Arabidopsis thaliana: one gene and its partner. The protein of the gene in region 2 interacts with the protein of the main gene of each other region in a pairwise test. Each region holds a gene or a part of one and is shown on either strand. Other genes may lie near its edges.

Region 1 (4,249 bases), on a different chromosome or scaffold from region 2:
CTAAAACAATCTAACGCAGACGCATCCTTTAAAACAACAAAGAGAAAGGGCACGCATGGATTCCAAGAAAGCAATCAACTTTCTCGAGGAACAAAAAAACCCATAATCCAAGGGACGAGAACGAATTTTGCAGATAAGAATAAGGGATAAAGTTGAGATTTTTATGGTAAAGGGTTCTCGTTATAAGAAAAAGACGAAATTGAGGCTCTGTTAACCTTTAATTTAGGGGAAGAAAGGTCAAAAAGAAGAAAACTTTTCTCTGCTTTTCTTCTTCTTGAAATTTGCGCTGAGGTTTACCACTTGGATTCCTTTAGTTTTTCTTGAGCTTTGCAACGGAGAAGGAAGAGAAGAGGAAGAAGAAGAAAGGATGTAGAAAGTGAAAGAGGAACAATTATTGCGTTATTGTTTAATATTCAGTGTGAAATAGACTTTTCTAAGTAGGCACGATCTACGGATTACAGACGCCTCTCTCTTTTACTCAAGTTTTTATTTTTGTTTGTATTCAGTTTCTATACCACAACGGCTCTAAAGGTTCTAAAGAAACTTACTTTAAAAAGATCTTAATCTTGCATCTTTTTTTTTTAACTTTTTTGTTTTTGGCACTAGAGGAGGAAGATGGACCACAATTCTGATTGGTTTGGTTTGGTTCTTGTATCAGAAAGTTGTTTGGTCTTGCTTGGTTATAAACTGGTTTAAAACCCCATTCACATGAATATGATAATCATACTTCGATGTCATTGTTGTCTTCACTAGCTTTAACATTCCCATTACCATAAGTTCAGTGAAGTAGAAGGATAACACGAGAAGCTAAGAGAAGAAACATAAGATTGAAAGTGATAACAACAAATCTGATTGGTGTATGTATCAAACACACGAATCTATATGCTACATGTGCCACATGAGTAGCTTCAAATTGGTTGCTCATGGTCAAAAATATGATCTCTTACAGTTAAAAATTACGAAACTCATCATCCACGAGTGGGAGTGGTTTTTCTAAGTTCAGTTTCCAGCTTTGCAGAACCGTCAGGCAAGTCATAGAATTCAGCTAAGTATGTCAAAGCTTCAAAGTTGTTGTTGCATACCTTCCACAGTGCAGAAACTTCTCCTTTAGAAACAGTTCCCAAGTTTTCACAAGTCTCAATGAATTCAAGCAGCTTTGAATAGAAAGCATCATAATTCATCACAATGAATGGAACCGGCAATGCAGATCCAATCCTTTCGAGCTGAATCAATGCCAAAATCTCAAACATCTCATCGAGCGTGCCAATGCCACCTGGAAGTGCAATTATCGCCGTCTTCTCAGATACATTGTTTCTAATCACAGCATCTACTAATCCATGCTTTCTCGCCGAGAAAAACCTAACATGGATTTTGCATTTTAGGGATCACTCATTCTTGTGCAAGCACAGTAAGTAATAACCAATGGTGTGTGGCTATGTTTACCTGCAAGTATGGTAATTCTGAGGAGGGAGATATGGATGAAACTTCGATGCGGTCCATTCACCGGCTTCTTTTTCTATTTTGATGCCACCGACCGGTTTCTCAGCTTCCAAAGCACCTTCAGTCACAGCATCCATAAGCCCTGGTCCAGCACCAGACCATGTAGTACAGTCCAACAGAGTTGCTGCCTGATAAAATACACAACTCTGAGAAATCTATATCTAAACTAAGCTCTTGTGGAGTGTTAAGGGTCTTACTTACTTCTCTGCTCAACTCTTGTGCTTGCAGATAATGTGAATGGTTTGGTGGGATTCTGGCGGAACCTAAGTACACAATGCCTCTCCCGAGCCTATGTACGAGGTCGAAGCAAATCTCAAGCTCTTTCTTAACCTTTCAAACAATGAGAATTCAACAGAATAAGTTGAGAATAACCTCTATCGAAATGGTCTTTCAAGGGGAAACTATCAGTACTTAAAAACCGAAATCTCCAAAGAAGATTAAAGATAAAGTGAAGTTTACTTCTTCATTCAATTGAACAAGAAAAAAGGCCAAGACTTTAACAGGAGATATCAGAATTTACGCTTGTTCTTGTGTTTCTAATTCTCTAAGGACTTGGCTATCTAAGCAAAGTCAAACTCTTTCTGCTGTGATGAACTTGTTCATGAAATTCTATTGCAAAGACTAGAAATGAGAACCAATTTAATGAAATTCTAACTCAGATTCGAAGCAGAGATTTTAGTATGTTACCTCAAATGGGCTACTTCTCTCAACAAAATCCTCAGACTTAACAGACCTGCACTTTAGAGCTCGAGCTGAATATGCCCTAATGGAATGATCAAACCTCAAATTCAGAGAAATTGGATCTCTTTCTGTCAAAGAGCTAGCGAGTTTTTGTGTTGGTGAAGGAGACATCTTCGAGGATAATCGGAAACTCCATGAGGAATCCAACATCGAAACCCCCATTTTCTGATTCTCACTTCCTTCAACTGGGTACCCAACAAAACTACTCTCAGGCTCTCTCAAATTGTCAATTTAAGATCTTGACAGACAAAAAGATTATATTTTTATCTCCGTTCAACTTCACCGGTAGCTCCATGACTATGCCCCACTCCAAAGCATAGGGCTTTTATCATTAACTAATAGAATCATTACACGTGGATTTCCTATTCCAACTGTTAAAATTGGATTTTGAGCATTGAGATTTGATTATTTCAGTAAAATTTATAATGCAAGTTAACAGTAAAATTTATAATGCAAGTTAACAGTAAAACACTGATCTATATTTTAAAGATTTGTTGTTGCAACTTGCAAGCTTTATACATTCAACACATGGTGGCACATGCAATCAAGCAATTAGCACCTAAACACAGCTTAAATAATCCCACTTAATATTTAAGACACATTCTTTTAATATCAACTACACAAAGAAAAGCAACCATTCTTCTATAACTTGAGTAAAGAAAAAAAAAGGGTCAACAATTTGGCTCTCTTGAAGAAATGGGATCAAAATTTCATGCTTTTATGTATCCATGGTTTGGTTTTGGTCATATGATTCCATATCTTCATTTAGCCAACAAACTAGCTGAGAAAGGTCATAGGGTCACTTTCTTCCTCCCCAAGAAAGCTCATAAGCAGCTCCAACCTCTCAATCTGTTCCCAGACAGCATTGTCTTTGAGCCTCTTACTCTCCCTCCTGTCGATGGTCTCCCTTTTGGCGCCGAGACAGCCTCGGATCTCCCAAACTCAACTAAGAAACCCATATTCGTTGCCATGGATCTCTTACGCGATCAGATCGAAGCAAAGGTCCGTGCTTTGAAACCAGATCTAATCTTTTTCGATTTTGTTCATTGGGTTCCAGAAATGGCAGAAGAGTTTGGAATAAAGAGTGTCAATTACCAGATCATATCGGCAGCTTGTGTAGCTATGGTTCTTGCACCTAGGGCTGAATTAGGGTTTCCTCCGCCGGATTATCCTTTATCCAAAGTGGCGTTACGTGGACATGAAGCTAACGTCTGTTCTCTCTTTGCGAATTCCCATGAGCTTTTCGGTCTGATCACCAAAGGCCTTAAGAACTGTGACGTCGTTTCCATAAGGACCTGCGTGGAACTTGAAGGTAAGCTATGCGGTTTCATCGAAAAAGAATGTCAAAAGAAACTTCTCTTAACCGGTCCAATGCTCCCTGAACCGCAAAATAAGAGTGGTAAATTTCTAGAAGACCGATGGAATCACTGGTTAAACGGATTTGAACCAGGGTCGGTAGTGTTTTGTGCGTTTGGCACTCAATTCTTTTTCGAGAAGGATCAATTTCAAGAATTCTGTTTAGGAATGGAGCTAATGGGTCTACCGTTTTTAATATCGGTTATGCCGCCAAAAGGCTCACCAACGGTTCAAGAAGCGTTACCAAAAGGATTCGAAGAACGGGTTAAAAAGCATGGAATCGTTTGGGAAGGATGGTTGGAACAACCTTTGATATTGTCTCATCCATCAGTAGGTTGCTTTGTGAACCATTGTGGCTTTGGTTCAATGTGGGAGTCTTTGGTTAGTGATTGTCAGATTGTGTTTATTCCACAATTGGCAGATCAAGTTCTCATCACAAGATTGTTGACTGAAGAACTCGAAGTCTCTGTGAAAGTGCAGAGAGAAGATTCCGGATGGTTCTCGAAAGAGGACTTGAGAGATACTGTTAAATCTGTGATGGATATAGATAGTGAGATTGGGAACTTAGTGAAGAGGAATCATAAGAAATTGAAAGAGACTTTAGTTAGTCCTGGATTGTTAAGTGGTTATGCTGATAAGTTTGTAGAAGCAT
Region 2 (6,983 bases):
TCATTTCATTGCATGAATACAGAATCAGCTTTTACGAAATTCAGTTGATCATTTTCCTTTTCATTTTGAGATTTTTGGTGTGAGCTTTATTTTATCAATGTGGAAAGATTTGTCGCTTTAGAAGCTAAAAATATAAATCATAGTTCTTAGATGTGATTAATGTAGGAGTTCATGGGGAAGAATCTTCTTGCAATGAATGTCATGTGGAAGTACAGAGAACAGGTAAGAGAATCCTTTGCTGTATACTTGATCACAGAAGCCTAATGATATGATAGTTCAATTGATTTTAGTGTACTTGTTTGGACTTTAGATAATTATGATCTTCGTTTTCCATATCATTCAGATTTGGTATGAGAATCTTTGCCACATAGAAAGATGAAGTGTATATCCATATTTTGTTGGTATAGTTCTTGCTTTTGCAAGTCAATCCTTGTAAGCTAATTCACCTTTATATATTTCTTGCTTCTTCTTCAACGCCTAGAGGTCTTTTCCTCTAACCGAAGAAGAATATATACTTAGACTTGACGATGTAGCCAACATGTTGAAATGCTGGGGAGCAGTCTCACATATCCGTAGCAGCCTAGCAAAGTCGAAGGAGCGACCTCGGATAGGGAAGGTGAGATCAACCTAAAACAGTAACCTTAAAATTCAGACATATATTAGCTAGATCACCTAGGTCGATTAGAGACCACTTTGATACTTTAACATCGTTTTTTCTAGTTTAAAAATCGACATGGATGGTTTCTCCTCTTCATGCAGGCTGTCAGCATTTTCATAGACATGGATTCGACAGGGGGAAGAGCAAATGAATGGATTTACAAGTAAAAATCGACCGGTTTGCAGCTGCTAAACCAAGAAATCAAAAGGTTTTGTCTCTACGTTTATCGTCATCAATTCATTTTGAAGGCTCTTCAGTGATGGTTGCCTGCAGAAACCGAGGTTTTTGCTATATTTGATGTCCAAATCAGGTAGTATATATGTACATGTGTGTATTAAGTAGACACAAATCTTTACTTGAACTCTCTGTGTAAAATATCTCCATGTGTTGAAATTCAATCATCTTTGTGAATCTTCCTCTCTTTGTGATCTGTAAAAGTATTAGTTTTGGCATTCATGTCAGTTTGGGGACCTTTGAGTTGGCTTTGCCCCCAAAACAAAAGTAGCTTTGGGACCATTCCTTGATTAATTTCATGGGTTTGTTTACTTAGTTTTGTTTCAAGTTATATGATTTTTATTAGACATATGATAATCAAATAAGTTATAGTTTCCGGTTTCTAGTTGAGCAAGTCCTGCTCCAATATTATAAGAGCACCTTAAAATACATATTTTTTAGTTGGAAACTTAAACCAACATCATGTTGGAGCATCGTGATACTTTTTTATACAACACATAATGATAATGCTCATCTTCATCATCATTATCATCACACTCATCCACCTCCACGTCCTACATCATCATTAATTTGAGGTTATTTTTCTTTTCTCATAAAATAAGAAAAAGATCATATCATCATTATCATAATTACTATTATTGATGATGTTGTCACATCACGATACACATCATGACTCACATCATCAACGTATGCTTCTTAACTTCATCATGAAAATTCAAAAGCATCCCTCTCTTCTCATCACCACAACCACTAACAAGTAAAACATCCTCATCATCTTTACCATCCCCCATACATCCTCAATTCCTCATTCATCATCACCCCTATATCCCCTTTTTTAGTCAATATATACTACATTAAGTATTGATTATATTATTGCCCACACATTAATGCTACTAAACTAAAAAGATTTGTATTAAGATAACGTTTTATAATCGCAACTTACATCACAATTTTTCAAATTTAATCTTTCAATTAAGTTTTGACCAATTAATTAAATTTAATTTCTTACAATACATACAATTATGTGTAGTGACAATTTTCCTGGCTACATCGCATGTTTTATTTAATTGCGTTCTGTAGTAAATTTTTAAAAAAATGTAAATTAACTAAAAGTAAAATTATTATTATTTTGCCACCAAGTAATAATTTATTACCAGAATACATCAAATTAATTAGTGAATCATTTCCAATTCGAATATGTAGGTAGTTTGACCAAAAAGGTAAAATTACAAAGCCTTTAACACAAACTCAAAACCAGAGTCTACTACATTAGAAATTTTCACAATTACAATTCTCCGGCGAATCCAACGTTTCCGGCACAATTCTCCACTATATTGACGGCGATATACCCTTATACGGCGTTTCGTGGTTACAATTTGTAACCTAACTACTCATCGTCTACCCAATTCAAACCAGTCAGGTTTCCGTACAGTAGTAAAATCACAATTCCTCTCTGTAACAACGATCTCAACGACTTCAACGAGACACGTTACTATTCCAATCCATTTTTCCGACGCCGGCAACTGAATCAGAATCGGAAAACTCTAGAGACATATGGTTGATTGGAGTGGCGATGCACCGGCAGGGCTCGTCTCCGATTACGCCTTCAAACTATAACGCCGCCGTTTCAATTGCTTCTGATGTACCTACTGGTTTAACCAAGTCTCCTTTATCTCACGCGATTCCAGTTTCGCCGATTTCTGCTGCTTACCCTTCCGGTGATCCTATTTTGATGATGTCTGGGACTCCTCTCGCTAGGGTTCGATTATCTGAAATTTTGCCTTATGAAGGAGCTCCTTCTCCGGTGTATGCAAAAGCTGTGGAGGCTTTGTCTGTGTCTTTGATGAGGTATAATGCGTCTGTGATCGAGATAGGGAGTGAAGACACTGCACTGATGCGATGTGGCCTTGAAGCTGCTCGTTTGTATTTTAGAACTAGAAGCCTTACTGTTTCTGGTAAAGGCAATCGTGGCCTCTCTATGTATAGAGCCGGAAGGTTAGCTCTTTTGCGACATTTTTGTTCTCTGGTTTTGGTTTTTGTAGAAAGAATTGGTTTTGCGTTTTTGAATTTGAGAAATTGGTTTGATTTTAGTTACTATAGCAGTTCTTGATCTATACGATGTGTAGTGAGTGATTTTTGTCTTGTGAACAGGTCTGTTGAAGATTTAGATTCTTCACCTCCATGCATGGCTGAGATTTTCAGGTGTTTGGGTAAAGTAGCACGAGCTGCTTTATCTGCAATAGCAAGGCATCTACGTTTAAGAAGCGAGTAGGATGGTTATGATGCTTATTCTCTGTTTTTACTAATACTTGTTGTGTCTCTTTACTTTTATTAACTTATACAATGAGCGTATCTCCTTTTTTTGCAGTGTTTTTAACCATATGCTTGATGACTTTCCACTAGCTCCGAACGAGGTTTCCTCCTCGGTGCTACTGGCTTCCTATGCTCATGCATCGATACAAAATGGAAAACATGCTTCTGGAGGTGGGAACCTATCTGCTAAGATTGAAGTTGAGAAGGGTTTGTTGACACTGTTCTGCTCAGATGGCACTGGCATTCAGGTAACCTCTATTGAACTTTTTGTGTGTAGAAGGTTACATATATGCTTTTATTTTAGCTAAGAAACTTGATGGGAAAACGTGTCATATTTTATCCTTTCGAGGGACGAAATAGTTGTGTAAGAATACTATCTATGAGTTAGACATGATCAGCCATAATCCTGAGTTTCCATTTTGCTTGATTCATTACACTATTCCATTTAGTACATTTGGCTTTTATTTTTTTGTTCCTTCTGAAAGTTCTTCTTTCCTTAGGTATGTGACCCAAATGGTCGTTGGTACACAGCAGATAATGGATGTGGGGTGGGTGATCTCTTACTGATTACCGGCAAAGCGCTTAGTCATGCTACTGCAGGTCTCCGTCCAGCTGCCTCTTACAGAACTACTACCGATCATTTGTCTGCCACTGACACTCGAGGAAGGTATGTTTTTAAGACGAAATAAGCTTTTCCTCAACAACTTAATGACAGCTTTTCCTTAACAAACCTTATGACATGAATGTATGCATACATATTTGATTAAAACTTTAACTCTTTCCACTTGCAGGGCATCATTAGCTTTTAGGCTTATGCCGAAAAGTAATGCTATATTAGATTGTTCCCCAATAGAAGCAGCCGGCCATGTAATTCCTCAAAGCTATGTGCCAGTATCTGTTAGTCAGTTTATGGATAACCTCTTAGCCGAGAATGACACTCTAGTTAATCCGCCTGTGAAAACCAATGTAAGCTCACCCTTTATTACAGTAGTAAAACTAGCTGTCTAGATTGTAGAATTACATTTAAACGTATAAAACATTGATATCTGTAGTACCCAAATCTGCCTTTTTACTTGACATTTGCAGCAGAAATTGTATTGAGGAACGAGTTTTAAAAGTCATATGTCTTTCCTATTCTTTCAGATCATGCATTTTTTTCTTTTAGATACTCTCAATCGAGATTTTAATAAGTGGACGTGCTACTTATATTACTCTTTTTGAGGATCTCACTATTTTGGATCTGTTTTATGATTGGCACTACCTCAATACTATAATGATATAAGTTTCTCTGTTTGATGTTAACTGCTCAGAGCACGAGGTCTTATGAATTGTTGATGTCAGGTTCCACGGGATGATGTTTGCAAAGAGCCTTCCTTAAGAAGTGTTCTCTCGGATCCAATTTCGTGAGTACCATTTTTTTCCTTAGTGTATAATATTATCTATGACGAATAAATCTCCTCTCTTAGTATGGTTAGTTGGATGAATTGCTAAATCTGATCACGTAAAAAGTACCCTAGCTAGGTTTTCTTGAGTGCTGGCAAGCCCTTTTTCTAAACTTCTCCTCAAGTAGTTTTCTATTCTGATTTAGCAAGTGGTCCAAAGCTAATCATCCGTGCCAGATAGTAGACATACACTGAAGACATTATTTAGTCATATTTTGTTACTAGCTCCATGAGCTGTATAATATGTTCAATTGTTTTCCACCTTTTTATTCTGTTGCTGTAATTTTGCGAAGGCAGTGCAGTGAAAAAAACGTTCTAATTTGTCTGTTGCAAACTTTTGATGTTAGTGGTGCTTTTCTTGAAGATGCAATGGTTGTCTCTTGTGGACATTCATTTGGTGGCCTTATGCTTAGAAGAGTCCTTGAAATGGTTGGTACTAGTTTACTTCGATTCTATTAATATGCTAGTCTCATGTGATGGTTCTTCCTATATACCCAAGAATATTTAGTAACCACAATGATCTTATGCACAGTCTAGATGTACGCTCTGCAATACAGAGATCGAGTCTGGGTCTCTGGTTCCTAACCATGGTAATTCCGATAAAGTTCATTATCTTCTTATCTGTGCTCCTCAATAAATAATTTGATCCACGATAGTCTTTTCGGGTTTCACATTGACAAACAGTCCTAACCGAGTAATCATATTTCTTTGCTAATGTCGAACACATAGCACTTAGAGCTGCCGCTTCAGCTATCAAGCAACAGGATGATAAACGACTTTTCCACAACGCAGCCATGAGAAGGCGTAGAAAAGAAATGAGTGATCAAATGGATGTGGTGAGATGATCTGACTCTGCTCTACATATTGCTTTTGTGGGTGGTTTCCGATTACATAGTTACCATCTCCAAACTTATCAGCCTGCATCATCATCTGTTTTCTGGTTAGCTTAAGCTTATGTTGTTGATGAAGATCTGATACAAGTTACAACTTGATCCCAAATTCTCTACAGGAAAATGGAGATCCAGCTACGGATGATGGTATGCATCGAGTGGTGCATTATCCATTTGCTGTAAATGAGAAAGTTCTTATCAAGGTAGGCCATTACATTTCATTTTGGTTCTGATGCATTTTTTCCAGCAGATAAAATTTGGTTCTAGCTTGTTATGGAACACATTTCCAATTGCAGGGAAACCGGCGAACTCCAGAAAAGTTTGTTGGAAAAGAAGCAATCGTGACATCTCAGTGTCTCAATGGCTGGTAAGTATTACTCTATGATATATAAGAGCTGAAAACAAAACTATACGTGATAGGTGAAGCGAGTTGTTGAGTTCAATTCTCAAACTAATCCATTCTCATATATTTTTCAATAAAAGGTATCTATTAAAGATTGTCGAAAGCGGAGACAATGTACGGCTGCAATACCGATCCCTAAAAAAGATGGTGAACGATGACAGAGGAGGAGGCCTACAGGCTCAACCGGTTGAGAGCAATAGCTTGTAGAATGTAATCATATTTAACCCTTTTCTTTTCTTCTTATTCTGTATCTCTAGAGCTAGAGAGAAAAGAAAAGATAATGTGGTTTGGGGTTTTGAGATTCTGCATAAATTTAAATCGTTTGGTTAGAAAAAGAAAGTAGTGGAAGACTATTATTGTAAACTATATTAGCCTCCTAAGTATTAGAGGTTTTGTACAGAACAAAATGTTAGAAAAGAAAAAACAACTGTGTTACTCTTGTTGATGTGCTTCCTACAGAGCAAATTGCTTTCCAATACGATACGGAATTTTGCATTTTACTAATTTAGTAACAAAAAGATTCCACTTTTTTTATATGTAAATGTGTATTCAATCAAGTTGATATATCTAAAGTCTTTCGTTAAGATGGCTTATTGTTATGTGTCACAACGGACAACACGTGGCTTGTGGTTTGGAACCTGCATATGGGAATAGCCATGTGAATCAAACCTAGAAAGTAGAAACTGACAGACCAGACAAGTGTGATCTTGGATACGACTACAACATGCTCATATTTATGGATCAACGGAAGTTAATTAATTTAGTTTCAGTTCATTTTCCTTGGAGGTTAATGAACAACACAAACTCAGGGTTTCTCGTCCTAGATTTTGCGAAGCCATTAACAAACAAACGTTAAAACAGTCTTGATTTTAGGACATGCTTAATATGTCTTTTAAAGGAACCTATAAACAAAGATTAGACCATGAAAAATATGAATTTCAGTTCATGCACCAAGACTTTCACCAATCATAATCATAGGAGCCTTAGATGTGCCAAACAACTAATTGTATGAAAATACCTTGTTTTTACTTGAATTTCCATTT

What was found.
Region 1: the proteins of AT3G19895 (region 2) and AT1G50575 interact in a two-hybrid assay, tested with the Arabidopsis thaliana proteins (one large-scale study listed by BioGRID).

The regions. Positions count from the first base shown.
Region 1 is NC_003070.9:18,727,894-18,732,142, forward strand, and holds AT1G50575 (Putative lysine decarboxylase family protein), read right to left. Parts: upstream 2,606-4,249; 5' UTR 2,404-2,605; coding exon 2,188-2,403; intron 1,831-2,187; coding exon 1,702-1,830; intron 1,629-1,701; coding exon 1,444-1,628; intron 1,360-1,443; coding exon 969-1,359; 3' UTR 741-968; downstream 1-740. Other genes in the region: AT1G50580 (UDP-Glycosyltransferase superfamily protein), read left to right, coding at 2,938-4,249.
Region 2 is NC_003074.8:6,916,694-6,923,676, reverse strand, and holds AT3G19895 (RING/U-box superfamily protein), read left to right. Parts: upstream 1-2,076; 5' UTR 2,077-2,465; coding exon 2,466-2,887; intron 2,888-3,043; coding exon 3,044-3,160; intron 3,161-3,260; coding exon 3,261-3,453; intron 3,454-3,705; coding exon 3,706-3,872; intron 3,873-3,996; coding exon 3,997-4,171; intron 4,172-4,546; coding exon 4,547-4,608; intron 4,609-4,994; coding exon 4,995-5,076; intron 5,077-5,179; coding exon 5,180-5,237; intron 5,238-5,376; coding exon 5,377-5,483; intron 5,484-5,656; coding exon 5,657-5,740; intron 5,741-5,833; coding exon 5,834-5,904; intron 5,905-6,020; coding exon 6,021-6,147; 3' UTR 6,148-6,435; downstream 6,436-6,983. Other genes in the region: AT3G19900 (uncharacterized protein), read left to right, coding at 166-222, 482-616, 760-825.